Linked DNA regions of Diceros bicornis minor. The protein of the gene in region 1 interacts with the protein of each later gene in a pairwise test. Links are inferred from orthologs where the notes say so. Each region holds a gene or a part of one and is shown in the gene's direction. Other genes may lie near its edges. The genes, in order: DZIP3, ZCCHC10, HNRNPUL1 and HNRNPF.

Region 1 (7,798 bases):
ACCAAAGCGGAACATGCCAAATTTAACCACTAACGCCACGGGGCCAGCATTCTCTCTTTCAAAAGAAGACTGATTGGGGCCGGCCCGGTGGCGCAAGCGGTTAAGTGCGCGCGCTCCGCTGCGGCGGCCCGGGGTTCGCTGGTTCGGATCCCGGGCGCGCACCGACGCACTGCTTGGTAAGCCATGCTGTGGCGGCGTCCCATATAAAAAAAGTGGAGGAAGATGGGTACGGATGTTAGCCCGGGGCCGTCTTCCTCAGCAAAAAAAGAGGAGGATTGGCGGATGTTAGCTCAGGGCTGATCTCCTCACAAAAAAAAAAAAAAAAAAAAAAAAAAAAAAAAAAAAAAAAAAAGAAGACTGATTTTTTGATCACTAGCTATGACTTTTCTGAGTACTGTATTTAATACTGGCATTATGCATACGTATTTTTTTTTAATTCAAAAGAAGACCAGCACTTCCCAAGGTGCATTCTTTTTCTGTAGACCACTGAAACTTTGATATGCTTCAGATTCTTTGCTCCAATAGTTTTAAGAAAGGATGCATATAATAGTCCCCCTTTACAAGAGATCCACAATACAAAATAGTTCTGAGAGGTCTTGTGATAAAGAAATCTTTTGAATGTGAACCATTTTCCAAAAGATTCTATAACTAAACCTGCCCTTTAAGAAATGTTAAATTCATACATCTTCCAAAAAATGAAAAAGAGAAACGAAATACATACCCAGTTGAGAGAGCAAACTGATGATACTTAAGATCAGTGGAGCACTTATACTTGGGTCTTCAAGCAGCTCCACAAGGCAACTCAAGCATTCACTTGGTAATATCTGATTCGATGTAAACAATCGGGTGAGCTTCTGTCCAGAAATTACCTACAAAATAGTAATTAAAATGTGTGAGTTAAGAATTGGCAATTTTCACCTCTTCTCCATCTCAAATAAAAACTCAGTCTCCCAAAGTGCCACTGCCACTCTCTTTCTCGATTTAGAAAATTCATCCATGCCGTTCCCTCTGCATGGTAGATTACCTCTCCCTTTCCTCACCAGCTAATGTAATCACTGGGTCTCAGTTTTAATTTGCTTTCTCCAGGAAGCCTTCTCTAACTTTCTTCCATCAACTAGGTTAGGTTTGCCTGTTATACTATCCTATAGTAAATTATACTTTCATTTCATATGTTGGCAAGCCTTTGCTGACCTAGCAATATTTATCCTCCCTACCCACACTGAACACTCCATGAAGGCACAGACTACAAATCAACACTCTACTACCAATATATTTATTGAATAAATGAATTCCAGTACATTCATTTCACCTACTTTGAGAGAGGCAAATGATAAGTGAGAAGAAGCTAAGTACAAAGGCTTAGCTACGGGATTAACTATGTGATTACTCCTTCCGCTCCTTCCCAAAGACAGTAGTTGAGTCCAGAAGTTAGAGATTGCAAAGAAGGAAGTTGAAAAAAAATTTTTTTAAGCAGCCAGGTCAGGCACTGAAAAATTTTATTATTTGTTATTCCACTTTCTACTCCTCACTTATATACCTATAAGCATCCCCCCACCTCCCAAAAAGGTAAAGCTAGGATCGAAGGCCAAAAACAGTTGTCAGACAGCCACTTATTTTCAAAATGCTTTATGCATGTTATTCATTATTAAGCATATCTTTTCTATAAAGATGGAAAAAACAATTACTTACTTTAGAATTAGATTGAATCTGTTCTAAACACTTCTATTTCTACAAGACCAAGTCAAATCAGGCTGTTTTAGCATCTCTCTAGCTTCCATTTCTGTATCCCTCTTTCATTCCTCCACCCAGATGTCAGTTTTTCTTTTTCTTTCTTTCTTCTTTTTTTTTTTTGTGAGGAAGATCAGCCCTGAGCTAACATCCATGCTCATCCTCCTCTTTTTGCTGAGGAAGACTGGCACTGAGCTAACATCTATTGCCAATCCTCCTCCTTTTTGTTTTTCCCCAAAGCCCCAGTAGATAGCTGTCTGTCATAGTTGCACATCCTTCTAGTTGCTGTATGTGGGACACGGCCTCAGCATGGCTGGAGAAGCGGTGCGTTGGTGCGCGCCCGGGATCGGAACCTGGGCTGCCAGTAGCGGAGCATGCACACTTAAGCGCTAAGCCATGGGGCTGGCCCTCAGTTTTTCTTCTAAAGCTTTGCTGATCAGACAGCTTCAGAATATCTGTTCCCAGGGAGTACTTGTTTTAACATTCAATTAAAAGTCTATCAGACTGAATAAACAGGTCCAAAGGCAAAATTAGATACCAATAGTAGATATTTTGGGGTAAAGAACCTTCTGAGCATTGGCCTTTTGCCAACTTATAAAGCTAGCCTTCTACGAGATTAAGACATTTTTTGCTTTAAATACAATTTCCCTCAGGAATGGACCCGTATTTCAACAACATAAGTATTCTAATACGTAATAATAATTTTTTACGAGGTAAAATGAAAAATGCTTTACAGATTTTCTTCTTTACTCTTACACATTGAATGTTTTAATGCAAATAGAATTTATCTTAGTAATAACTAATACTTTAGGACTTACTCTAGCCTAGACATTGTTCTAAGTACATCATGCATGTTAATTCCTTTCACCATAATAAGGCTGAAAGGTAGGTGCTAGCTGTTTTACACATGGGTAAGCTGAGGCACACACTGATGAGACAGCAGCACAACTAAGATTCATTGCTCCCGAATCCATGCTTATAATCATTACATAAGAATAGTGCTATGCAATAGCATCAAGAATGAGACCAGTTCAGCTCTGGCAATCATAAAAAAATGCAAAGCTCAGGTTCTACCTGGGGCTACAAAGAAAAAAATATAGCAGAAGTCCAGAAGAATAGCAGAGTGAACAAGCTCCTTTCACATGATAACTCTCTGTTATCTTCAGATGTTCTCATGAGGTCCGCACAAAGATATTCACCATTAACACTGTCCGCCAAAACGGTTAAAACTAAAAAATCTGAAAATGTCAAGGATCAGTATGAATGAATGAAGCAAACTTCACATATTGCTGGTGGGAGGGTAAACTGACATAACTTGTGGAAAATTGTTTGGCAGTTCAACTAAAACTGAACATAAACTTACCATAAGACCCAACAATTCCACTCCTAGGTATATAGGAGAAATGAATACATATATCCACAAAAAATGTATGAAAATGTTTATAACAGGTTTATCGTTAACTCCACCCAGAATTGGAAACAACCCAAATGCCTATCAATAGGAGAATGTATATAAACTGTGGTTCATTTGTACAATGAAATTCTACATAGCAATAAAAAAGAATGAAGTACTGGCACACATGCAACATGAATGAATTTCACAGAGTATATTGAGTGGAAGAAGCCAGACACAAAAGTATACATGGTATGAGTCCACTTATCTGAACCCTAAGAGAAGGAACAACTGAAAAAATCTTATAGGGCGCTGGAAATGTTCTGTATCATGACACAGGTGGTAGCCACTTGAGTGTACACTTATGTTAAAAAAAACTGTCAAGATCTTCACTTAAGATTAATGCACTTTATGCAATGTACGTATGTTATCTCCCAATTAAATGGTAAAAGTGTTTTTGGTAAACCCCTTGGAATTCTGGAAACACTATCAAGGAGCCAGTCTCTAAGCCTCAAGTTTCTTTGAAGTCTCCTTCAATTCACCATAACATTGTGCTCAGAGTCGCAACATACCTGTTTATTCTCAAAGAGGTAATGTTTCAGATCAGTATCTAAACTGCCTAACTCCTAATTCTTAAATAAAACTGACAGTTCTGCTTTTCCTGTGGCTTCTGGAGTCCACTAGCGCACTGTTCTATCCTAATTGAGAAGTGAAGCCTTAGAATTTAACAGCTAACACCTTAATTATTAGGTTTGCAGGTATTCGTTGAGGTAATGAATGAAAAAAGAAACCCAATGTACTTAAGACACGGGCAGCTACTCCAGTTTCACCAAAGGCTGATGTTGCTGTACCATTCTCAATCGTCTTTCTCCATAGTATTTTGCTAATCTTTGATAATTTAGCCTTTTATCATAGGGTTAATATAATAAACAGAATATATTTTAAAATTATGTTCAATTCTATGTTAGCAGAAACTGCGACAATTTTTTTTTTATTAAACTGAGGTCAATATTAGTTGGAATTCCATGAATGCCATAACAAATGACAGCAGGAGATTAAGACCCTAAAAATAAACAGGATCAGAAAAGCTGTGATTATAGCTTTCCTTTGGAAAACACAGAATAAGTCTTCTAGACACAAATCACTGGGAACCAATTAAAAAAGTGAAAGAAATTCAGCATTTTAAGACTGAAAAATTGTGAGTAATACATTGTGGTAAAGAATAAAAGATTATTATTATGAGTAAGGGAGATTGTTTCTTAACCCAAAGAAAGTTGACATAATATTTTTCAAGTTCGATTCAACATGAGTTCAAGTAAAAGCAGTAAGCGACAGGTTCAGATTGTAGACTGCCTAAAGGACAAGGGATAAAGCAAGTGTTAATCGTCACTCCCCATCACCTCCACGCCCGAGAATTGCTGTATATTCTGAGGGCTCTGTTACGATGGAAAAAGCAAAAGAAGCACAAGGAAGATACAGCGTTGTCCTCCGCCCACCCGAAGCACAGCCTCAATTCCCCAACCTCTTGCCCCACCCTCCCTCTTCCTAGGGCTTTCGGTAGTGACTTAAGCCTCTCGCTGCAGCCAGCTGAACGCGGCGGGCCCCGCGGCGGGGTAGAAGAGGACGGGAATTCAGGCTGACGCTCCCTCGCCTTCTCTGCCAATACAGAAAGACAGCTGAGCGAGCGAGGGGCCGTCCTTTCCTTCCCAGGCTGGGGTCGCTACGCCGGGCAGCACCGGGAACTAAGGATTACGACAGGGAAGCCCATCTCGTCCCCTACCCCGGAGCCCCTCACCTCCAAGTGCCGCAAAAGCTGGCTGGCGTTCGCTTCCGACTTAACGGCTTTATACTGACTGATGGTCAGGAGCAAGGACTTCAAGCAGGCGGTGGAGTCCATCGGGACCCGCCACAGCCCCACCTGGGGGCCACCACCACACCTCCAGCTCTCTCCTCCAGCTTTCTCCGCGCTTTTTTTTTTGATTTTCGGCCCCACCCCCCTCGCTCTCAGATGCTTCCGGTTCCGTTCGCGCTCCGGAAGTCCCTAGGCAACCTGGCGGACGGCTCTCAATAAAGGGAGGTGGTGGGGAAAGTCGAGGCGCTCTGTGCGTCCGTGAAGGGCGTTGACATCCCGGTCTTATCTGAAAAGCCGCGAGGTTTCAGTTTCGAGATTCCGTGAAGACGACGAGAAGTCTCGCGAGAAATGCGACTGCGGCTCTCTTGTGGAGGGGCGGTTGGGCTCAGTGGGGTCCTGTTTGTCAGCGCGCTCCGTTTTCGTTCGCTTCCTCGGCCTTCACGTTGGATGGCCGGTTTCCCTTTGTGCATCATCTTCTGCCTGAGAGATGGTCGCTTCCCTCTAGTCTAGACACGGTGAGGGGCTCTAAGGACGAGAATCTTGGGCTCTAGATTTTGAGGCGGCCTGGGAGGGGCCTCTTTTTAAAATCTCAGATATGTCCACCGCTTCCACCAGGAATGTTTGTTTCTCAGCGTAAACCTGTGGCCATTGGGATTCTGTGGCAAGTTAGTCCCGCCCTGACGGTAGTCGTCACACTTATTCGAGAAAGCTCCCTCCGGGTGACTCCTGGGCGAAGTATTGCTCCGGAGGGCGTTCTCATTAGCGTCAGTTTTTGTAAGTGAAGATGTCTGTCTTTATCTGGCATGATCGGTTGTTTCGTAACTCTCGGTGTCTGTGAAAATGGCACTGTCGTTTGCGGTTTTTGATCAGAGGTAATATTATGCGTGTGTATATAATGGGATGAGTCGAGAGTAGCTAGCTGGAGCTCTTTGCTTCCTGTGTACTAACGTCGAAACCAGTTTGCAGAAAATTGTAGGAATAGGATACGTGTCCTTTTAAACCACTCGTCAGAAATCATGTTTTGTCATTTCGAAGTATTTTTTACATCACTATCATTTAAAGACGGGATTAAAAATCCATTTTAAAATTAAATCTGAAAGCTTAAAATAATCTAGCCAATTGCATACGTCTAAAGATCATTGGGTAATTAGCTATTTATAGGTTCGTTCATTCTGTAAATAGTTATTGAGTGTATAACATGGGCTAGATGTCGCCGGTCAGGGAGCAAAGATAATGAAGTATCCACTGCCGAGAAGGGACTGTCTAATAAGAAGGGAAACGGACTAATGGACAGTATATATGGAGTTCACCACATGGGTTAGAGGTACCGCGCAGTGCTGATCAAGAGTGGAGTCAGGCTGTCTGCTTACAAATCCTAGCTCCACTTTTTGCTGTGTGACCATAGATAGGCACATTCTCACTGCTTCCTCTCTTCGTAAGGTAAAATCGGGCTAACAGGAGTACTTGTCTTATAAGATAAATTCAATAAATAATTCATTGAGAGCCTACGGTGTGCTAGGCACTTGTCTAGGCACTAGAGATTCAGTGAATCAAAAATCCTGCTGTTATGGATATTATGTTCTGGTAGGGAGAAAACAAATAATAAACACAAGGTAATAAGGAAAGTGAGATGGGGAAAAAAATAGAGCAGAATTATTCCTCTAGAGTTATGGTGGCTGAGAAGAAGGGAAATGGGAGGTTAGGATAGAGAAAGCCGTGTTTGAGAAAAGACGTCAAGGAGTTGAAAAAGAGAGCCATGATCTCTCGGGAAAAGGTTTCTAGATAGAAGGAATAGCAAGGGCAAAGGCCCTGAAGAAGGAGAATGACAGTGTGTCAGGAACAGCAAGGATGCTGCTATGGCTGGAGTAGGGAGCAAGGGTGAGTAGAGGAGATGAGGTCATGTCAGGTGGTGCAGAACATTATAAAATGAGTTAATCAACATAAAGAATTTGGAACAGTTGCCTGGCGTAATGAAGTTCTCAGCAAGTGTCAGTTACATCTTCGTTTGTTGGCAGATGCAGTGACGACAGTTTGGTGGTGTTAAATAATGACAGGTACTTCATCATCATCTCCATTCTAAGCCAAGGGAAAGGGTCAAAGCTGCCTGCTGTTAAGTGCCATCTATCTTTGAAATCTTCCATTTTAACTTAAGCTATTCATACAGATTTTGCGTTCTTTTCCATAAAGTATTCATTTTAATATAAAATAATGTTTCTCAAAAAATCTTCACCAGAAATAGATCTTGTAAATTTAGTAAGTTGTGCCATAGTGGTAGCTGTGAGAAACCCTGACATCTTTAGTTGGAGATACTTGGATATCCTAATATGAACAACAGAGCCATCTTTTAAGCCCCAAGGTGGGGGAAAAGGAAGAGGAGGAGATGAAGCTGGGTCCAGATGACTGAAGGCCTTGTTAGCCTTGAGCTTGGACTCCATCCTGAATTCAGTGGTGATCTCTGGTTTTAAACTGGGGCCTGATCTAGTTGGGTTTGTGTTTTATATTGATTACTCTGGCAGCTGGATGGACTATGATTTTGAGGAGGATAAGGCTAGAAGGAGGGAGAAGGTTTAATTTGCTGGAGTCTTTCCAAAGGATAACCAGGATAATTGAAGTGGAGATAGCAAAAAGGTGACAAATTTGAGAAATATATACAAGGTGAAAGAGGCAGAACTTAGTGACCGATTTTGGATGTGAAGAGTGAGGAAAGGGATGAAACTAGTAGGGATTCCAAGTTTCTAGTCTGTGTGATTGAGAAGATATAGCTACTGCTGAGGTAGTTAATAGGAAGTATTCAGGTTGTGTTTTATGTTCAATGAAATTTTATA
Region 2 (7,270 bases), on another chromosome or scaffold:
ACCAATGGCAACCCAGTCCAGAGAGATGCAACTCTCCCTCCAACACACACCTTTTACATCCATCCCTCCCTCAGTTCTTTGAGACATCTTATATAACTGGAAGGCACTTGGGGGACGTTTTCCTAGAATAAAGGAATAGTCTGCTTAAAGACTGGTAAAGTGTTCATCCTCGCGAAGGGCCGGCCCCGTGGCTTAGCGGTTAAGTGCGCGTGCTCCACTGCTGGCGGCCTGGGTTCGGGTCCCGGGCGCCCACTGATGCACCGCTTCAGTGCCACGCTGAGGCAGTGTCCCACATACAGCAACTAGAAGGATGTGCAGCTATGACATACAATAATCTACTGGGGCTTTGGGGGGGAAAATAAATAAATAAATACAATTATAAAAAAAAAAAAAAAGTGTTCATCCTCGCCAGAGAGAAATTACTTGCAGCTTTCACAAGAGTTTTTAATTTTTTCAGCTTCTACTCATTAAAGTTTACAAAATTTAGCATCTGAATTTTAGCCAGGGTCCTCTGGACAAAGCTGAGGGTCCCTCAAGCTCATGGGCCTCAATGGGAAACAGCTATATTGACTTGGTCTTGCCACTGAAAAAGCAAGTTGTTATCGTATTGTGTGTGTGTGTGTCTGGCCCCTGTGTTGAACTCTCTAGAAGCTTTTTTTTTTTTAATTTTATTTATTTATTTTTGCCCCCATAGCCCCAGTAGATAGTTGTATGCCATAGCTGCGCATCCTTCTAGTTGCTCTATGTGGGTCGCGGCCTCAGCATGGCTGGAGAAGCGGTGCGTCGGTGCACGCCCGGGATCCGGACAGGGCCAGCCAGCAGCAGAACGCTCGCACTTTAACCGCTAAACCACGTGGCCGGCCCTCTAGAAGCTTTTAACTAATTCTTTTTTTTTTTTTTTTGTGAGGAAGATCAGCCCTGAGCTAACATCCATGCCAATCCTCCTCTTTCTGCTGAGGAAGACTGGCCCTGGGCTAACATCCATGCCCATCTTCCTCCACTTTATGTGGGACACTGCCACGGCATGGCCTGACAAGCAGTGTGTCCCTGTGCACCCAGGATCTGAACCCGGGTCACCAGCAGCAGAGCACCCCCATTTAACCACTACGCCACGGGGCCGGCCCCTTAACTAATTCTTTAGGCTTTCCAGGTGTGCGACCAAATCATCACAAATAATGTCATTGCTTCCTCCTTTCGATTTGTTATATCTCATTCTGTCTCTTGCCTTTTCACATTTGCTATAATGCAGTTTCTTTTAAAATTAGCTGGCAAAAAATCTGAGTATTATTTTGTGGGAAACTTGAAAATTTGAGAATAAAGCTCACCTAGGAAAATAAATGCCTAGGAGCAATAAGGAAAATTGAGGAGAAAGAAAGATTAATGAGGAGGGACTTGCCTTATCAGATATCAAAATATCCTATAAAACCATGGAAATTAAAACTATGAAACAAATACTGGCACAAATACATCTTTGGAAGAAAATAGAATGTCCAAACAAACTAAATTTGTACATATTTGGTACATGAGAGACTGGCATTTCAAATCAGTAAAGAAGTGATAGATTATTTAGTAAATGGTATTTCAAAAACTAAAAATTAGGATTAAGAATATAACCATAATTGTAATTAAAAAATTACAATAAAATACAAGAAAAAAATTTAATAATCTTTTTTTTAAAGATTTTATTTATTTATTTTTTCCCCCCAAAGCCCCAGTAGATAGTTGTATGTCACAGCTGCATATCCATCTAGTAGCTGTATGTGGGACGCGGCCTCAGCGTGGCCAGAGAAGTGGTGCGTCGGCGCGCGCCCGGGATCCGAACCTGGGCCGCCAACAGCAGAGCGTGGGCACTTAACCGCTAAGCCACGGGGCCGGCCCTAAATTTAATAATCTTAAACATAGGGGCCGGCCCCGTGGCATAGCGGTTAAGTTTGAGTGCTCCACTTTGGCGGCCTGGGGTTCCCCGGTTCGGATCCTGGGCATGGACTTACTGCTCATCAAGCCATGCTGAGGCAGCATCCTACATAGAAGAACTAGAAGGATGTACAACTATGACATACAGCTATCTACTGGGGCTTTGGGGAGAAAAAAAAAAAGGAAAAAATGACGAAGATTGGCAACACATGTTAGCTCAGAGCCAGTCTTCCTCAGAAAAAAGAATAATCTTAGACATAAAAGGCCATACTAAGCATGAGCCAAATCTAGGGACCTATAAAGGAAAAGATTGTTAAAAATGCCTATACAAAAATTTAATGCCTCTGTACAGGGTAAATGATCACAAAGTTAAAACACAACAGACAAAATAGGAAAAATATTTGTAAAATATAAAACAGCATTTATATGTAAAATATTAAAAGTTTCTACAAATCAATATTAAAAAGATAAAAATCCAATAGAAAAATAGGCAAAGAATTTGAACAGATAATTCATGAAAGAAGTACAGTCTTCAACAATCATATGAAATGTATTTAACCTCACCAATAATATATCATATTGGCTTATTAGATAGGCAAAAGTTTAAAAGTTTGACCATTCTCAATTCTGGTGAGAAAGTAGGATTTGGTTGCACAACCTATTTAAAAGACAATAGGTAATATATATCAAAATTAAAAGCACACATATCCTTTGACCCAGCAATTCTACTTCTAGGAAGGAAGTCATCTTACAGAAACATAGGTGAACGCTTAAAAATCCATTCATTCCATCTTTGTGGTAAATGGTCTAATGGTTCAACAATAGGGCACTGATTGGATAAATTGTGGAATATCCATATAATCTACATAAAGTAATACATAAAAAGAATGAATTAGATCTGTATGTGCTGATATGGGAAAAGATGTCCATAAGCACATTGAGGAATGAAGGAAGCAAACTGAAGAACAGAATAGTTGGTAAGATTCCATTTTTTTAAGAACAAGATGTGCTCAAAGGTCACATGACATCACCTTCTCTAGCTCCCAATGGTAAATCTCTCTTTACCTCCTTACCCTGAATCATTTTTCTTCAGAGTATTTATGTTCATTGGACATTGCCTTTGTTTATTGTCTCTAGAAAGCTCCATGTGTACAAGGACTTTATTTGTTCAGTGCTCTATCCCCAGTTCCCAAAACAGTTTAGGTGTTCGATAAACAGTAATTGAAAAAAATGAATGGGGACTCATAAATATGCACACATATATATTTCAAAAAGTTATATATAGTTCAAAGAACGTGGATTTAAGGGAATAAAATCTCCATGATCTGATACTAAATGCTAAAATATCCTAAAATAATTAATATTTGTCTAGGGCCGGCCCCGTGGCTTAGTGGTTAAATGCGCGCGCTCTGGTGCTGGCGGCCCGGGTTCGGATCCTGGGCACACACCAACGCACCGCTTCTCCAGCCATACTGAGGCCGTGTCCCACGTACAGCAGCTAGAAGGATGTGCAGCTATGACATACAACTATCTGCTGGGGCTTTGGGGGAAAATAAATAAATAAATAAATAAATAAAATTAAAAAAAATATATATATATTTGTCTAATCTTTTCCCAGTTGACAAAGCAGCTTTACTTAGTCTCATTTGGTTCTTGTAAAATCCCTATGAAATACATAAAAATAGAAATAATTAACATATATTTGCACTTTATGGTTTGCTAAAGTCAGTCTTTCAGTTGATGGTCCCAATCCTGTTCTACTCATTCCTTTTTTTTTTTTTTTTTTGGTGAGGAAGACTGGCCCTGGGCTAACATCCATGCCCATCTTCCTCTACTTTATATGTGGGACGTCTGCCACAGCATGGCTTGATAAGCAGGGCATAGGTCCGTGCCCTGGATCTGGGCCTGCCAACCGGAGGCGGCTGAAGCAGAGTGTGCGAACTTAACCACTATGCCACCTGGCTGGCCCCAACTGATTCCTTTTTATTTTGCTCTCCAGACTACTTCTAGTTTTCTGAACACTGCACAGTTTTATTCATATATATATGACTATATATTCATAAAATATATATACTTCCCTCACTTGAGAATGTTTTTCTCTGCCTCTCCACTCAATTTACGCGTACCCATCCTTCAAAACCCTGTACAGGCTGGACAAATGGCCTCACTTCTCTTCCTCAACCTAGAGACCCACACAGCAGACACAACACCCCAGCCTCCCACCCATTACTAGCCCCAAAGGTTGTCCCGAAGGCCCGAGACGCCGGCCAGGCTCCGCCCACGCCTGTGGCCGGCGGGTTCGAAGCCCCCGCCCCCACCGAGGGGTTTCCCAGCATGCAGCGCGGCAGGCCTCAGCCGCGCTAACATGGCGACTCCCATGCATCGGCTCATAGCCCGGAGACGAGCGTAAGTGAGGGCCGGAGTCGGGCTGCGGGGCGGGCTGGGGGCGGGGAGAAGCGCGTCAGCCGGCGGGTGAACGGGCGCCGGGATGCCGGGCCGGCGTGGGATCCTCAGTAGGGAGCGGCAGAGGGTGGCCGTTTTTTCTCGCAAGTTGCCTGCTCCTAAGGGGCTCGGGCTCGGGCCCGGGCGATAAGTTTGGTGCCCATGGGGTAGCGATTTCGTGAACTACGGCTGCGTAAGGTCCGCGGTGCAGGATCTAGGGGGTGTCTGAAGAAAGCCTCGCGTTTGGTTCTCACGAAGGGGACGCCCAGGAGTTGGTCCGTAAGTGGTTTATGCCCCTCTGCCACCCACCTGGCCACCCCATTCGTAGCCAAGAGAAGACTGAAGCCCTGATCCGACACCCCCGACTCTCGCCGACGTAAACCTTCAGCTCCCTAAGCAACCTCCAGCCCCGCTGGCTTTTCCTACCCACTTCCTCTCGCCTGTTCCTCGGGAACAGCCCGACTACAACGCCGATTTTTCTCACAAGCTGTAGTCTCACTTTCTACCATTCGTTTTCTTCAATAAATATTAATTTATTCATTGCCTGCTGCTTCCTGCCAGAATTGGGATCTAAAGAAAAAGAGGTGTTCAAGACATAATTCCTGCTTTCAGGGAGCTTACGTTCTAGTGGTGGAAAGAATCGGTAAACTAAACATTTTAAGTAAATCCAGTTGGTGATAAGAGCTTTGAAGGAAATAAGAGGTGATGGAAAAAATGAAAGGCCCAAGTTAAGTTGGTTGGACTGGAAAGGCATCTCTGAAGAGGTGGCATTTGAACAGAGATCAAAAGTGTGAGAAAGCCAGTCATGAGAGGATTTGGGGAAAGAGCATCCAGACAGTGGCATAATTGCTTTGAGGCAGGAAAGAGCCTAGTTTTTAAGAACTGAAAGATGGCTATTGTGGCTAATGAGTGAGAGAGTGGCACAGAAGTTTGCTGTGGTCAGATAATGTGGTAGTCATCTCAGATGCCCCTTTCTTATAAAGCCTTTTTTCTTCTGCCAACCTGTACACCCAAACAATGTCTGTCACTTTTTCATTCTCTCAGCATTTCATATCATCACCATTTACACGCCTATAATATATTGCTCACAGTCTGCTAGCATATATATGTATGTTATATTTCTTTTTATATTTATATTTTTTATCTTAAGATCCGTGTTCCTTCTCTTCTCGCTCCATTCCACTCTACCTCTCATGCCTGATGAGGAGAATTTGTTGAGCATAAGGATAAAGACTTGGGGTCAGAGTAGTATGCTTGGTGGAGGAAGAAGGCTTTGAAGTCAGACAGTTCTGAGATCAAGAATGGAGTGATGATAATACTTAATGGGCATGCTAAATGACGTCACCACGGTCTAACTTTCAGATTTGCCCTTTTGGGTGTTGGTTCCATACTTAGATAGATTTACTCCTTTGGTCCCAGGATGGCTGCAGTATCTAGGATCCTGTATATCCCCTCAGCTTCAGGTTGATGGCATCTCATTGATCTAGATTGGGTTACATGCCCAACCCTAAACCATGTCTGTGAGATTGTGAAGCTCTGATTGACTTAGATCTAGTTCTCTTCCCAGCACAATTGAATGGATCTCTATAAACCAATGATGAGCTGGGTGGGTAGGTCAGAGGAGGTCATGAATGCTGGATTGGCAGAACCAACCAATGTGCACTGTAAATATGAAGTGAAAGTGAGACTTTTAGCACCTAAAGAATATCGCACCATTTCTTGTTTTGTAAGTCTTAGAAAGTTGAACAGGTGTTCCGTTTCTGCAATCTGCCTGTATTTGGTACAGGAGCTACACAGAAGTAAAAGACAAATCTTAGCGTTAGGAGCTTCTGATCTTGTTGGGAAGAAAACATATGGTGTATAATAAAAAGTGTCATGGTATACAGACTATATAAGTCCCTAGGGAGTCAGAGAGGGAGGGCCTTTAGAGGCTAGGGGAGTCCAGGAGAGTTTGGGAATATCTGGGGGGGGGGGGGAAACAGAAGAGGAGACTTTACTTTTCTTTCTTTCTTTCTTTCTTTTTGCTGAGGAAGATTCGCCCTGAGCTAACATCTGTGCCAGTCTGCCTCTATTTTTTAGTATGTGGGCCACCAGCACAGCATGGCTGCTAACAGAGTGGTGTAAGGCCCATGCCCGGGAACCGAGCCCAGGCTGCTGAAGTGGAGCATGCCGACCTTAACCACTAGACCACCAGGGCTGGCCTTACTTTTCATTTTATATTCATCAAAAAGGTTTAATTTTATTTATAAGGAGTATATATTACTTCCGTAATAATAAATTTTAAACTTTTTAAGTTATGGGAAATGAGAAAGCACTATTGTCATTCTTTTTAAGTCTTTGGACTAATAGAGGAAAGAGGGAAATAAAAGAAAAAAAGAGAGAGCTTAAATTTGAACTCCCCATTCAGCAGATCTTTCAGGCACTTAACTTTAAATCAATCGAAATGAGATTATTTTCACTTTTTAAATTGTAATTACATCTACTCATATGTGAGTAGATTGTAGAATCTTGGTACTATCTGGGGTCGTTTCTTCTGCTAAACCCTCTGCTGGATTCTACTGCTCTCTCTTCAGTATCCAGAGTAATATCTAACTTTGGCTAGAAGACCTCCAGTAAGGACATACCTCCTGAAGTAGCCTGTTTCATTTTCCAAATTTATCAAAAAGTTTATATTGAGCTGAAAGGAAAATAATATTGATGAAGCTAAACCTGCTGCCTTCTAACGTCCCAGCTTTTGACCTAAGCTATAATTTCTGTCAGTTAAAAACCCTAAGTGTTTTCCACTTGAATTGCCCTCAAGTCAAGCTTCCCCGGTCTTGTATTTGTATTGGTTTTCTGGACTTGTGTCCGACTTACTTTTACCCTTGTTAAATTTCATCTTGTTAGATTCGACACTAATTTCCAGCCTGTCAAG
Region 3 (7,992 bases), on another chromosome or scaffold:
ACACACCGTCACTGCTGCCGAGTCAGAATTGAGTCACTAAGTGCAGCTCACACTCAAGGGGAGGGAAATTAGGCTCCATCTTTTCAAGAGAGGGATGTCAAAGAATTTGAGCACTATTTTATTTTATTTTATTATTTTATTTTGTATTTAATTTTAATTTTTTGTGTGTGAGGAAGATTGTCCTTGAGCTAACATCTGTGCCCATCTTCCTCTATTTTGTATGTGGGATGCCGCCACAGCATGGCTTGAGGGGTGGTGTAGGTCCACGCCCGGGATCCAAGCCCACAAACCCTGGGCTGCCAGAGTGGAGTGTGCAAACTCAACCACTCTGCCATGGGGCTGGCCCCAGGCACATATTTTAAATTGCACAGCTTGCAAGCCTTTGATGCCAGAGACACATTGGGAAGCTCTGCTCTAGCAAACCCTCACTAGAACACCACCCCATACCCAGAGAGGTTTCCCAAGACTCTTTCCAGCTCCTGAGTCTCCCAGGATCCCCCCTCAGAAACTCTTGAGAATTCCCAAATCCCCATAGATGCCCCCAAACTGCTATGGTTCCCTCCAGTCCCATGAAATGCCCCCAGACTCCCAGAATGTTCCCCTTCTGAGCCCCTGCTCAGTCTCCCACCCCTGACTTTGCTGCCCTAGGTATGTCCTGATGTCCCGGTGCTGGGAGCTAAACCCCCGGGACCGGCCGAGTTTTGCAGAGCTGCGGGAAGAGCTGGAGAACACGCTGAAGGCCCTGCCCCCTGCCCAGGAGCCGGACGAAATCCTCTATGTCAACATGGATGAGGGTGTGGGTCATCCTGAACCACTTGGAGCAGCTGGAGGAGCTGACCCCCCAACCCAGCCTGACCCTAAGGATTCCTGCAGCTGCCTCACCGCGGCTGAGGTCCATCCTGCTGGACGCTATGTCCTCTGCCCTTCTACAGCCTCTGGCCCCACCCTGCCTACTGATAGGGGCTCCCCAGCATCCCCGGGGCAGGAGGATGGAGCCTGAGACAACCCTCTACCTGGGACTCCCTCTCAGGACCCAAGCTAGGCACTGCCACTGGGGGACCCCCCTCCACTTTCCCGCTCCAGGCCTTACCCTCAACTGCAGCTCTCTCTTCCTACCTATTCCACTTCCATCCCAGATAGATCCTCCCCCTTTTCCATGCCTTTGTGTCCCCATGTGTAAAAGGAAGGGGTTGGACTGCAACCCCTAAGGGTCCTCCTAGGTCTAACATTCCAAGATTCTAGATTCTAAGGTTTAAAGAGTCTAGACTCAAAGGTTCTAGGTTTCAAAGATGCTATAAGTCTTTGGTTCTAAGGACCTGAAATTCCAAAGTCTCTAATTCTAAAGTGCTAAGGTTCTAGACATAGAAGTCCTAAGGCCTATATTCTAAGGCTCTGAGATTCTATGGCTCTAGATTTTTCTGGTTCAAAGATTCTTGATAAAGCCCACAAGATTTTAGGTTCTAAAGCTCTAAGATTCTAATTCTAGGATCTAAGACTCTAAGATTCTAGATTTTATTTTTCTAGGGTTCTGAATCCTTAGGGTGTAAGATTCTAGATTCTACAATTCTAAAAATTCTACAATTCTAGACATGGAGGTTCTAAGGCCTAATGTTCTAAAATTTGATATTCTAAGCCTCTTAGAGTGTAAATCTTCTGGCTGTAAGACTAGATCATAAGCCTTCAAGATTTTATCTTCTCAAGTTCTAAGATTCTAATGATGGCCAACTATAGGTCTAAGGCATTATGATCCTTGAAACTCTTGTTAGGAGATTCTGGATCCTAAAGGTCTAAGATTCTAGAATCTGCAATTCAAAAGTTCTAAGAGTCTAAAGATGGAGTTTCTAAGGTCTCATGTTCTAAGATGTGATGTTCTAAGACTTAGCCTAAGAACCTAGATTCTCTGTGTCTGAGATTCTAGATCATATGCTTCAAGATTCTAGATTATTAAACTCTAAGATTCTAATGTTGGTCTGTTCTATGTTCCAAGACACTTTAGACTCTATTGGTCCAAGATTCTGGATCTTCAGCATCTGAGGTATAAGTCTCTGCAGTTAATTGTGACTAACTAGATACCAAAGTTCTTACCATTTCTTTCTTTCTTTTTTTTTTTGAGGAAGATCAGCCCTGAGCTAACATCCATGCTAATCCTCCTCTTTTTGCTGAGGAAGACCAGCTCTGAGCTAACATCTATTGCCAATCCTCCTCCTTTTTTCTCCCCAAAGCCCCAGTAGGTAGTTGTATGTCATAGTTGCACATCCTTCTAGTTGCTGTGTGTGGGACGTGGCCTCAGCATGGCCGGAGAAGCAGTGCGTCCGTGCGTGCCCGGGATCCAAACCCGGGCCACCAGTAGCGGAGCGTGCGCACTTAACCGCTAAGCCACGGGGCCAGCCCTCTTATCATTTCTAATGCTGGACATCTTTAGGTTCTATGCTGCATTCTGCCTTTCTAGGATTTTAGTTATGGGTCTAAGATCCACAGTTCTAAATCTTAAGATTCTAGACACTGTAGTGTTAAGATTCAAATGTTGTAAGATTCTACAGGTCTACAGGCATAGAATTCCAAGGGACGATTCCAAGGTTCTAGCCTTATATTCTTCTGTGTGACCTTCCCCTTCTTAGCCACCTCTGCTTCCTCCTCCCTTCATGTGGGGGTGTGCCCCCTCAAGCCTGTGCAATGCATTAGGAATGTCTCCTTTCCCCAGGGGACAATCTTCCTCCTCTTGGGCCATGCTGCCCCCCTGAGCCAGTCTCTCATGCCCCTGTACTGAGTGTGGACGCTGGCGCCTCCAGAGGGGCCCAGATCACATAAAACTTTGTAACCACACTTCCGTCTCCTCTCGTCTCCACTCAGCTGTCATGTGGCCTCCCTCCCTGGCAACTCAGTTTCCCCTTCAGTAAAAAGAAGAGTTTGGTGGGGTCTAGGAGTTCTCCCCTCACTAAAGAGGGTAGAGATGAACATACACATAGACAAAAAGACACGCAAGCAAAGAAATGCAGACTCTCTGAAACCCCTGGCAAGGAATAGGCACAGAGATACTCACGAGGTCACACAGAGACACTCCTCCCCACAAAGTAACAGATACATGAATTAGTGGACATACTCAGGCACACCTGGTCACAAATACAAAGACACTGAAATTCAGACACATGAGTAACAGAGACACACAAAATTACACAGATACAAACATATTTATAAACATATGCACAGGCAGATACTCCCCAGGAATAGGGAGAAACTAGAGTAACACAGATACAGACACACAAAGAGTAAAGTGACACAAATACTCAGAGACATATAAAGTACAACAGGTACTCACAGACCCAAACGTTCAGATTCACATAGAAACACAGGCACAGAACACCTCCGATAATCACCAGCCCATAAAGGGACTCCTGCCAAGACAAGTCCCCTGTGTTTTGCACGCATCGCGGGCACACGTTCCTGGGTGTGTCCAGAGCAGATGGAGGAACCCTTGGCAGCGCCCGGACGCCCCCCGGTGGCGGCTCCTGAGAACCGAGAACAGTTCAATCCGGGCCACAAACTTTTTTAGAACAAATCATTCTGGGAAGCTGGGGGTAGAGAGGAAGTCGGACGTGGGCGTGGGGCGGGGTGTCTGGACTGAAACCTCTGGGCCCACGTGAGTGTCTGTCCCGCTTCTGAGTGGGTGCTGGGTGTATAGGTTGCCGTAGTGTAAGCTTGTGTAACTGTCCTGTGTGTCTTTATCTTTAGATGCCGCCTGCGTGTGCGGACCTTAGTGGGCACATCTACACTGCAGTTTGGTGTATTACCCCTTGAATTGATGCATCTGATCTGACTCACGGCCATTTGTTTATCTGTGTTGTGTGTGCCTTTGTCTAAATAGAGGTCGTGTGTGGCTTTTGTGGGCTGAAGGTATGGCTCAATGCGCAGCGGGCGTTTGCATTGTGTGTCTCGATTGTGCATCTTACAGAAGTTTTGAGTCTTTTCAGTTAGAGGCGACAGGTGGTGCAGCGTTAGACATTGTGAAACGCTGTGTGGCGTTTGTATTTAGCAGCGTGAGGCGTAACTACGGACCTGTGTGTTTGAGCTTGTCAGTAGAGACGCCAAACAGCCACGTCCACTGAACAGGCGTCTAGAGGATTTGGGGTAGAGACCCGCGAACCTCTGGAGGTCTTTCCGGGGGGGACGGCTCTATGGTCGCGTGCAGAGCGCCCATTCCACGTAAGATCCCAACCATAGAGAGAGAGGGCAGCGAAGCTCAGATCGGGGAAAGAGGCGCCCTGTGAGATGTACTATCAAAGGGGAGAGGGTGCCATTTCCTTTACAACTTTTCTCCCGTTGTTAGACTAGCCTCTATTTTCAAACCTGCAGGACTCTCTGAAGTCAAAGGGTTGCTTTTCATTAAGACAACTGAGTTTTTTCCAGGCTAAGAATAATTAATCCACTTAATCTCTATTTCGTATACCTCCTTCTACAGCGAGATTTGTGAGGCCGTCCGCTGAAAAATGGCCAATCTGGTTAGCTTTTCCTAAAGCGATCCAACCGTACTAGCTTTAGTGAGATAAAACAATAACTGCGATTGGTGGGCAGATTGTTTTGAAACCGCCCTAACGGCAAAGGGTAGGTCCTTCGTGAATTCATCTCTTTCCGGTTTTTAAAGGCAATAGTGAAGGGGGGGGAGGGTCTGCCGACCCTCCATTTGATTGGTTCTAGTGGTTTTACCCGCTTGGACGCCTCTAGGGGCGGGAGATCTAGACCAATCAGGATATGTGTTACAGAGACACTAGTTTGATGAAAGGACCGCGCAGGAAAGGCCGTGAGGGCGCTCATTCTGAGATCTCGTCGCTGATTGGCCCAAGTCTTTACTCCCTTTCCCTCATTTGACCCTACGAGAGAGAGCGCGCCGGCGCTACCCAATCACCGCGCGCTCCGCCTCCCTCCTTTTCCCGCCCTCCGCTCCGGCCGCGGCATCAACGTAGGCCAACGCTTCCTCCCCGGCAGCTCTTGAGCCCTTTCTTTGCCGTTCTTTTGAAAGCCGCGCTCTAATTGGCTGAATCTCCAGGCCCGCGCCCGCTGCCCTCACGAGGTGACCAATTGGCACCCGTGTTGCATCGCACGGGGCAACAGAGGAGGGGGAGGCGGCGGCGGCGGCCATTTTGAGCCGCCGCCGCCATTGGAGTGGGGGGCCCCCCCCTTCCCCCTTCGCCTACTGACAGGAAAGGTTTAAGGGGGACAGAGCCCTGGAAGGCCGGGCCGGGCTCGGGGGCCGCCCCGGGGGCCCGGGCCATGGATGTGCGCCGTCTGAAGGTGAACGAACTTCGCGAGGAGCTGCAGCGCCGCGGCCTGGACACTCGCGGCCTCAAGGCCGAGCTTGCTGAGCGGCTGCAGGCGGCGCTGGAGGCCGAGGAGCCCGACGACGAGCGGGAGCTCGAGGCCGACGACGAACCGGGGCGACCCGGGCACAACAACGAGGAGGTCGAGACCGAGGGGGGCTCCGAGCTGGAGGGGACCGCGCAGCCACCGCCGCCCGGGCTGCAGCCGCACCCGGAGCCTGGCGGCTACTCGGGGCCGGACGGACATTGTGAGAGTGCGCGGGGCGGGGGCCGGGGAGCCCAGAGTCCGGGCCGAGAAAGGGCTGTGGGACGCGGGAGTCCGGCGCCCGAGGTCGGGGAGACGGTCTGAGGATTGGGGGATCCCGCCACCCGCCGCTGAAAAGGATCTGGGGACCAGGGCCTCGGGACGACCGGAGGGTGGATCCTGGCATTTGGTGCAAAGGAGATAGTGGAGTGGGGGCTCCTGGTTTCGGAGAGGAGGACGGTCTGGGGGGTGTAGAGCCTGGGGCTCGGGGACCGGAAGCCGTCGTTTCTGGGGCCAGAGAGAGTCGGAAGAACAAGAAATTTTCTATTCAGGGGCTGAGAAGGATCTTGGAAATGGGGATCCTAGGGGTTTGGGGGCTGTGCTAGCCTGGCGAGTGGGTTGGGCGTTAGGAGCCTCGTTTTAGTGCTCGGGAAGGAATGACCAGGTGTCCAGAACTAGGAGAGTTTTGAGGATGGAGGATCCTGGAGTTTGCTGCTGGATGAGGTACTGGGAATTCTCAAATTTGGTACTGGAATAGGTTGATGAAATGGGGGTGCTAGTGTCTGGCCGGGGAGGGTCTGATGGACTGGGTGCTCTGTTTGGCTGATAAGTGTGTAGGGGATGTGGGACACCACCGTATGATTGGACTATGGGAGACCCACATCTGTCTGAGGATGGCCTGTAGGAGTGTGAGATCCAGGGCTGGCAGGCCAACCTTGAGGCAGGGGCAGCTTGGGCATTTGGTGCTGGGAAATCTTGGGACCTTCTGGTTGACTTCCAGAGGAAGCGTAGGGAATCTTGGTGTCCGGAGGCTGGCAGGGGAGGGAAGGATGCTTCACTGGACAAGGGACCTAGAGGACTACAGCTGGGAAGGCTCTCAGGACAGATAACTCAGGGGCTACTGCTGAATGATCTTGGATTAACAGTACAGGTTGTTTGGAGAACAGAGGTAGCTAGGAGTGGAGCGGGACAGATGGTTGGTGGAGTTTGAAGTCGATGGAGTATCTGGGGGACGGAGGATCCTTGTGTCTAGCACAGGAGTGTGTAGCTGGTCTAGCAAATATGGGGGAGGGGGGGAGGGGAGAATGTAGAATGTGTAAGGAGAAAGAACCTGTTGATTTGTCTGGGGGCCTCTGGGTGGAGTCCGGGGAGTGTTTCTGGGGCTGGGTGTCTCCATGAGAGGGCTCCTTGGTTCCCAGAGGCAGTTATTTGTGTGCCCAGGGATGGGGAGACCTCAGAGGGTAGCAGGGAGTCTCTGCATCAGCCAGAAGGTAGGACTTGAAATGAGAGGGAGTAGGATAGATCTGTGATAGTCTGAAGAGAGGAGACCGTGGTATGGGTGGGAGTAAATCTGGAGTTAGAAAAGGGTGGCTTCCTAGCAGGACTAGGGAATGGGGACTGGGGAGAGTAAGGAGTAAGTAGAAAGGATACTGGCGTCCAGGATTTCTGGTATTTCTCTGAAAAGAGGGCACCCTGGGCCATGGGGCTAAGGGAATGAGAACAAGGGGGTCAGGGAAGAGACATGATTTGGAGTGGGCGTTGAGTACTTACTTGTTCGAGAGAGATGAGATCTCCGGGAGGGGAGCAACCTGAGTGTAGATTTAGGGTGGAGAGCAGCCTAGGGCTTGTCCAGGACCCAGGTGCTGGAAAGAGTACTTCCTATGCAGAGACCTGTGAAGGAAAGAGGAGTGGCCCAGCGTGCATGTCTAAGGCAGGAGACACCCTGGCAAGAATGCCTAGGAAAAAGGGCCAATGGCTGGAGGTGTCTAGGAAAGCGAGTTAGGTGCTCCAGAGCACAGGCTCTAGACTCAGACAAATTTTTGTTTCAAATATGACTCCATGACTTGGACAAGTCACTTCAGAACTCGGTGAGCCCTGGTTTCCTTGTGTGTAAAATACGGAGACTAATGCCCCCAGGATTGTTGTGAATGAGATCGCATGTGTAAGGGGCTTAGCACTGGGTCTGCCTGTTATTAGGAGATGGATGTTTTAGAGAGTGGAGAAGGACCCCAGAATCATAGCTTCTCTGGACGAAGCTGCCTCAGTGGGCACAGGAGAGATTCTCAAGAAGAGAGATATGAGGCTCTATGGGAAGAAGAGCACTGTGCTTGGAGCCTGGAGGAAACAGAATGGTTTGAAAGGGCCCCCCGTGTTCCAATTAAGGAGATATTCTATTTCTTCATCTCTCTCCTACCCTCTACAGCAAAGTCCTTTGAGCCCCGTTCATGCCCCCCTCCAACCCTTCTTTCAGCTCTGGTAAACAGACCTGTAGCAAACCACGTGATCTGTTACTTTCCTCCCTTTGGGCTGCACCTGGTTTGTGCCCAGATGTATTTGTCCTGTGAGAAAGGATCCAGTCAGTTAGCAAGTGGCAGAATAGTCTCTCCTTCCCTGTGGTTCTCCCTCACTGGTCCTGGCACAGCCACTAGTAGGGCC
Region 4 (6,854 bases), on another chromosome or scaffold:
TGGTACTCAGGGGAAATGTGGGGCTGATTCAAAGACTTCAGTGCCAGGCTCCCGCCCACCCATCCAACCATGATAGTTTTGAAATAGAAGCTGCAGAGGGAAGGAACTGTTTTAATCATAATACCTTGGGTAAGGTACAGTGAGGTCAGATGCAGATCAAGAGAGAGAAACTGGAAAGAGTTTTACGGTTTTTTATACTCACAGCTCTCGGAGGAGAACTCAACATGCCACCGGGGCCACTCAGGGGAAGCACCAGGTTGGTCACAAGGCAGAGCAAGAGGGAACTGTGGGCAAGCACCTTTATTGTGGTTTTTGCTGAAAGGAAAGGGTTAAACAGGGCAAACAGGTTTAGGATCGGCTAATTTAAATAATTTCAGTGGGCTCCGGAGCAAGGGGCTGTCTCTGGTTGATATCTGGCCCTGGGGTAATTAGGGAGTGTATGGCGGCCCAGAGTGTCAGAGCCCGATAAGGGAGGTGTTTGGTAGTGTGGACTTAATTGGCTGTTTAAGAAGAGGAACTAGACCAGCGTCTAAGCAGGGCCTCAAAACCGGATCAAGATAGCACACATCTACCCACACAAACTGTATTACAGGAAGCAATATTCTTTTTAAAAAAAGTTATGTAAATGGACCACACATTTTGTTTCTTCTCTGATCACAAAACGTCAATACCCCACCAGTGGTGGTTTAATCTGTAATTTTTTTTTGGTCCAAAACAATGAGAGGAAATAGTCAATACGTCAAAATGTCAATATCTCTTACATTTGTACAATATCTACAATTTTGTGTTTGTTTTCAACAGTCTATAATTTTTTAAAATGGAAGTTACTACAAGAGAAAGGCAGAGGGAAGCTGCAAGCTGCCCTGCACCTGGCAGATCTTTTCTTTTCTTTCCAGTTTTATTGAGATATAATTGACATATAACAGCACATCTTGATCCAAATGAAGTTTTCTGATTCTCCTGAGGCCCCATAGTAGTGAAGGCATCTAACTGCACATACTTTTGGGTGGGAACACTCATGATAAGGCTAAAAGCTGACAAATCAGAATGGAGACAGAGCTAGACCTTTGTTCACTAACATTCAAACCAAGGCTTGTTGCTGGGCCGGCCTGCTGAAGAAATGGTCAAAGTAAGGGTAGCCACACAACACTGCCCAGAACCACACAGTCCACCTGCAGTCTTTTGCTACGCAAAGAACCCAATTCAAGCAAGTAACCATCAAGCTCAGGGGGTGCCATAACATCTCTTTCACTAACTCAAAGTGCTGTCTGAAAGAACGTAAAGTACCCTGAAAGCACTGCAAATAACCCTGGGGGCGGGGGTCGAGCCCTCTGTGGTGGTGACTTTCCTCTTGAATAAGCATTGTGCTGCTTCAAAGGTGCATTTTTCTATATTAGTCAAGAAAATTAACCAGACGAGGCTGACTTCTCAACTTGCCTCTGTCCCAGCTGGGTTATCTTATCCCTCATCTCACCTACTAGAGCACCTGGCCTCAAGGATAAAATTTACATTTGGACAGTATTTATACCGTGGCTGGACAGTTGAATTTGCTTTCTCATTTCGTTCTTTCCCTCTCTCAGATGGGAAAGGGAGACAGAGAAGGGGCTGGTAAGCCAGGCTGAAAGCCCTACATCTTGAGAGCACAGCAGTTAAGAGGGCAGATCCTGGAACCAGAGTGCCTCAGCCCAAAGCCCAGATCTGCCATCTACAAGCTGAGTGACCTTAGCAAAGTTCCCTTAACAACTCTCTACCTCAGTTTCCTTCCACTAAGTGGTGATGATAGTAATAACATCTACTCTTGGGTTGCTATGATGTTGAAATGAGATTAAGTATTCAGAACACTGCAACACGTTAGGTATTGTTATCATCAATGCTAGTTAACAGATACTGTGATTTTGAATAAGAGCCTTGCTGAGCCTTGGTGATCCTGCCTACCCACTGGCATTCTCCTGGGGAAGGGGGTCAAAGCTTAATGGGTGAAGTGTTCTTTCAAGTGGTATCAACTGGGAAATTTTAAGACTCTAGACAATACAAACCTCTGTACCATTTGTTATGGACGAGTAATTTCCAGAGAGAAGCTTATTTTTAAAACTTAAAATATTTATTAAAAGGTCTTAAATTTGTGATAATCTATTTACATAAACAACAGGAAATAAACAGGTCAGTCTGTAACAGGATACATCTTGGGGTGATCTTCATTTGTGGTGAATTCAGTTGTTTTTAAACCACAGACCTTAAAGGCTCATCTCTGTGTAGGTACTCTCAAGAATCAAAAAACGTCTCTTTTTAGATTTCAGAGCTTAGGTGACACTTTTCTGTACATAGAGATGAAAAGAAAGGGTAGAGGCCCCTAAGCCCCCACAGCTGAGGAGGTGATCCAAGTAGACCAGGATTGGGTAAGCATTCTCCAGTTGGTGAGATGAGCTGGACTTTTGTGGAAAAGACCTAGGATCTGTGGCACCAGTCTGATTCCAGCCCTCACTATGGAAGAGAGCCTATATATGGCTGTGCTAGCACTCACCTCTGAAAAAGATAACATAGTGGACACCTGGGATGACTCCCTTGGACAGGGGGAGGCTCATAATCAGGCCAAGGCCCTAGTCTTCCATTCAGAGAAGACCTCAAAGGTTACTGCATCACTGATGAATGATGGAGAACTGTCAAACTTGATGAGGGCATCAAACAGCCCACAACAGAAGTCCTTTTAACAGACTGCATGAACCTATCTCCTTGAACCTGGTTTCACAGTCCCAAATTCTGAAGCATTACTATTTTTTGGTATAATTTTAATACTTGCCTCAGATTGGCTCTTGCATTTTGTCTCCAGAAACAGACTTTTCTACAGCATGAGCAGTGACAGTCATTGTGGGGTTTCTTAAGAATACCTATCTGATTTTTGTAGGACCCGTTTTCTGTAATTTTGCCTTTGATTAATTTTCTTCTTGTACATTTTCACCTCCTTTGACAGCTCCTGCTTTTACCCTTCCCATTTTTTCCTTCCTGGAATCAGCTTCTTTTGACAAACTACGCTCCTCTCTCTACTATCATTGTCCACTCATAATCTGATACTATGCCAAGCACTCCCTTAATTTAACTGGTAATTTTTAAGTAATCTTCTCCTTAACCTGCGATGAGGGTCTTGATATCGTCATCTTTTTAAAGAGTGTCTGCAAAATTAAAATGGTAATAATTATTAACCCAAGGACACATCTGCTCCCCTGCCTCAGGCGGAGTAGCCATTTCCATCCAGCTTCTCAATTCAGGGCCTCTGTGACAGGCAACCCTGCATTCTCCTTGGGTCTTCTGGGTCACCTTGAGAGAGTTGGGGGCTTCTCAGCCCAAGTGATAATCACGTGAGCAACCTCAGTCAACCAGCTAATCTTTCCCTAAACTCTCCCCTCGGAGCCGCTTTTTTCGTCTCCGGTGTTCTCGGTTCCCTCTTTCTTCCTCGGCAGGAAACGACTCTCATTTTCTTCTCTCAGGCTGGTCTTCAAGCCAGATGCCCTTTGCGCTCACTGTTTGGGGAGCTCTCCCAGTCAGTATCGTCAGGAGCTCAGGAGCGTTCCGCTAACCCTCCCCTTCCCAGAGAAAAGCTCGCCCTCGTCCCCCCGCCCCGTTCCTCTCCTTCCACCACCCAGCTCCGCAGGCACTACCAGCCCCGGGGCCGGGCCAACCAATCCCCGGCTCCGCTCCCGGCGCGTCACAATGGCGCCCTCCCGGCCCCGCCCCGCGCCCAGCCGGCCAATCCCCGGCTCCGCTCCGGGCGCGTCACAATGGCGCCCTCGCGGCCCCGCCCTGCCGTGGTCTTTGCGTCCTTCCGGCTCTGTCGTGGAAGTAGCGCTGCGCCTCGTCTTCCAGGAGAACAAGGTGGGGTTTGGTGGGGAAACCGGCCTGCGGTCACGCCAGCACACGGAAGGCGGGCGGGGGCGCGATCTCTTGGGGCTGCTGCTCCCAGGTGCTGGGGCACAGGGCCGAGCGGGGACCGGGCATGTAAGGGCTTCCGGAAGCGCCGCGTGCGCACGACGGGCGGGAGTTGTGGACTCGGGCCTGCCGCGCGCCTGACCCCTCCCCTCGGAAGCCCCGCCCAGGGCGCGCTGCCAGGGGTTTCCATGGTGATGGTAAACAAGCCTCAACTGCCTCAGCTACAACTGCCAAGTCCCCCACGTTCCACCCTCCTCTAGGTGCTCAGGGGGACGACCGAGGTGCCGGGTGTGAGGAAGAGCGGGAGCGCGGAGACTCCGAGCCTGAGGTGAGGGGCGGGACGGGCCGCGGGTCCGAAGCCCACACACCCGGGACCGACTGGCTACTGGGCCCTCTGGGTGTGGGGACAGTGGGGCTGAGATTTGGGGTCGGGGGAGGCAGGGTCTGAGGTCAGGGGCCGCACACCCGGGGACCGACCGTGGACTGGGCTCCCCTGGGGGTGGGGACGGCAGGGCTGAGATTTGGGGTCGGGGGAGGCAGGGTCTGAGGTCAGGGGCCGCACACCCGGGGACCGACCGTGGACTGGGCTCCCCTGGGGGTGGGGACGGCGGGGCTGAGATTTGAGGTCGGGGGAGGCGGGGTCTGAGGTCAGGGGCCGCACACCCTGGGACCGACCGTGGACTGGGCTCCCCTGGGGGTGGGGACGGCGGGGCTGAGATTTGGGGTCGGGGGAGGTGGGGTCTGAGGTCAGGGGCCGCACACCCGGGGACCGACCTTGGACTGGGCTCCCCTGGGGGTGGGGACGGCGGGGCTGAGATTTGGGGGAGGTGGGGTCTGAGGTCAGGGGCTGCACACCGGAGGACCGACCTTGGACTGGGCTCCCCTGGGGGTGGGGACGGCGGGGCTGAGATTTGGGGTCCGGGGAGGCGGGCCTGAGGTCAGGCCTTACACTTGACTGGACCAGGGGGCTGAGATTTAGGGTTAGGGGAGGCAGGACCCGCGGGGAGGAAGGACAGGAGGGCCTCGGGCGGACTCCAGGGGGAGCAGGGCGCGGGCACACGGGCCTGTCGGATGGGGCTTCCTTTAGAAATGAGAGCAGTTCCCTCACGTGGCCGGGCGCGTCCGGGAGTTGCCCAAGACTGGCTGGGCCTGGCTCCTCCCCCTCCCACGTTCCCGCTCGCCGCGCCTCCACTCTCGGTGCTCACGGCCTTTTCTTCCTCTCCGAGCCGCGTGTGTGCCCTGCGCGCCCGTCCGCGTTTGTCTCCTGCCCGTCGAGGTACAGTGTTCGCATGTTGGGGTGAAACTCTGGTTCTCGTTGTCTTTGCCTGGTGACCACGCTTCTGCTGAGCGGGCTTAGTCGGCCGTTTCGTTTTTCCCTCGTGCTTTCCTTCTTTGTATCTTTGAATATGTGTTTCGCTGATTCTTGACTGCGCCTAAGAAACTTCCGGACGCTGCTGGAGCTCGCGCGGCGCCGTCTGCCTCCCGTGCTCCTGCGCGGCTCCCTGAGGTGGTGCCGCGCGGGTCGCGGGGACCTGACCTACTCGGTCCCCGGACCCTGGTCTATTATAGAAACGGTGGGGAGGCCGCGGGCCCCTCCCGTTAATCTCTACTTTAAAGGGCCTCTCAGGACCCCAGTGTTCCCGCAGACAACCCTCAGGCCCAGGAGAGCCCCCCCGGCCCCGGGCACCTGCGGGACCCTCGCCCGGCGTCCCGTCGGCCCCGGCCCGCCGCTTGCGGGACGCCCTTGGCCGCATTCTCTTCCCCCGGAGGCCCCAGGACGAACGGACACCCCTCCTCCGCTGGTGTTTACAACTGTCTGCGGGCCGGGTGCGCGGCGCGAGAGGAGCCCGCGAGGGTGGCGCGCCGAGGGGGGACGGTGCGACCGCGGCTTCCCAGGGCCGCCGGGGCGGGGGGCGCCGGGGGTTCGGGGCGGCCTCAGGTGTCCGCAGGCGCGGGAGCGGGAGAGTTTTGAAGGCTGCAAATAGTTTTTTATATCAAACATCATCGAAACTACTGACCTTAATATAATTCTCACTACTACTTTTAGTCACGTTCTTAAAAGTTAGTTTTCGTTTCTGAATTTCTAGTAAGGATGAAAATATGTCGGGTTCTCAGGTTAGATAAAAAATATATTAAAATCTAATCTCTCAGTGAAAAGTAATGTTTTCAGTATGTACTAATTTCTAGACAATTTTTTCATTTTAAAATAGATTAATTTCTACATATAATGAATATTGAGAGAGATTGCTTTATTACTAATATTAAGTAAGTCCATAATTTGCCTTGGGGATCTCATGTTTCTGTATGCACTTCTGTAAGTTGATTGTTTATTATTTCCATGTTATGATCTCGTTTTTTTTTAGTTTTTTTCTATTTTAGTAACATTCTTCTCGTAATATTTGCCTTTTTGCTACCTTTCTTTTTAACTGACAAGTGACTGGTTTTCACTTGAGTATTGTTACAAAGCTCCCTTTAAACATAAAATATTCAAGGAAAAATGTGAATTGATTTAAGGGAAAAGATTGATTAAATAGGAGAGTTAGTCCTCGGATATGGCCAAAACTGTGAAGAGTGTGGAGACTTAACGGCCTAGGTGCCTGGAGGGGCTGCAGAAATGGGAGGTGACTTCCTGCCAGCCTCTGCCCAGTCTGAGCTCTGGCTCTCCAACTCTTTGTAGATCCGCAGTAATTGAGCCTTAGTGGGTCCAGGCAGAGAGCTAGGTTTAACCACATTTTTCTAATCACATGCTCATGACCAGTCTACAAGTGGGTATTGTTTTATTCCCATTGTACAAATGAGAAAATGGAGGCGGTGAGAAAATAAGTTGCTTGCCTAGGGACACAGCTGGGACTAGGACTCAGGACTGACAGGGACAGCCCTCCTCTGCTAGGGCCCTCATCCCCACCTGGTTGCCCTGAACCAGGGTTCTTGTG

Evidence for each region.
Region 2: the proteins of DZIP3 (region 1) and ZCCHC10 interact in binary tests that used the Homo sapiens proteins (3 or more experiments, as listed by UniProt). The link is inferred for Diceros bicornis minor from reciprocal best matches to the Homo sapiens genes DZIP3 and ZCCHC10.
Region 3: the proteins of DZIP3 (region 1) and HNRNPUL1 interact in binary tests that used the Homo sapiens proteins (3 or more experiments, as listed by UniProt). The link is inferred for Diceros bicornis minor from reciprocal best matches to the Homo sapiens genes DZIP3 and HNRNPUL1.
Region 4: the proteins of DZIP3 (region 1) and HNRNPF interact in binary tests that used the Homo sapiens proteins (3 or more experiments, as listed by UniProt). The two-hybrid records come from large-scale screens. The link is inferred for Diceros bicornis minor from reciprocal best matches to the Homo sapiens genes DZIP3 and HNRNPF.

Annotation. Positions count from the first base shown.
Region 1 is NC_080754.1:11,807,567-11,815,364, forward strand, and holds the start of DZIP3 (E3 ubiquitin-protein ligase DZIP3), read left to right. Parts: upstream 1-4,791; 5' UTR 4,792-4,916; coding exon of another isoform or gene 4,917-5,018; 5' UTR 5,019-5,488; intron 5,489-7,798. Other genes in the region: protein CIP2A, read right to left, coding at 722-869, 4,917-5,018. UniProt on the Homo sapiens protein: E3 Ubiquitin ligase proteins mediate ubiquitination and subsequent proteasomal degradation of target proteins.
Region 2 is NC_080740.1:52,289,408-52,296,677, reverse strand, and holds the start of ZCCHC10 (zinc finger CCHC domain-containing protein 10), read left to right. Parts: upstream 1-4,260; 5' UTR 4,261-4,279; coding exon 4,280-4,320; intron 4,321-7,270.
Region 3 is NC_080773.1:15,283,289-15,291,280, forward strand, and holds the start of HNRNPUL1 (heterogeneous nuclear ribonucleoprotein U-like protein 1), read left to right. Parts: upstream 1-4,981; 5' UTR 4,982-5,265; coding exon 5,266-5,560; intron 5,561-7,360; exon of another isoform or gene 7,361-7,424; intron 7,425-7,445; exon of another isoform or gene 7,446-7,992. Other genes in the region: AXL (tyrosine-protein kinase receptor UFO), read left to right, coding at 649-1,000.
Region 4 is NC_080745.1:15,289,118-15,295,971, reverse strand, and holds the start of HNRNPF (heterogeneous nuclear ribonucleoprotein F), read left to right. Parts: upstream 1-3,835; 5' UTR 3,836-3,867; intron 3,868-4,181; 5' UTR 4,182-4,249; intron 4,250-5,115; exon of another isoform or gene 5,116-5,197; intron 5,198-6,854.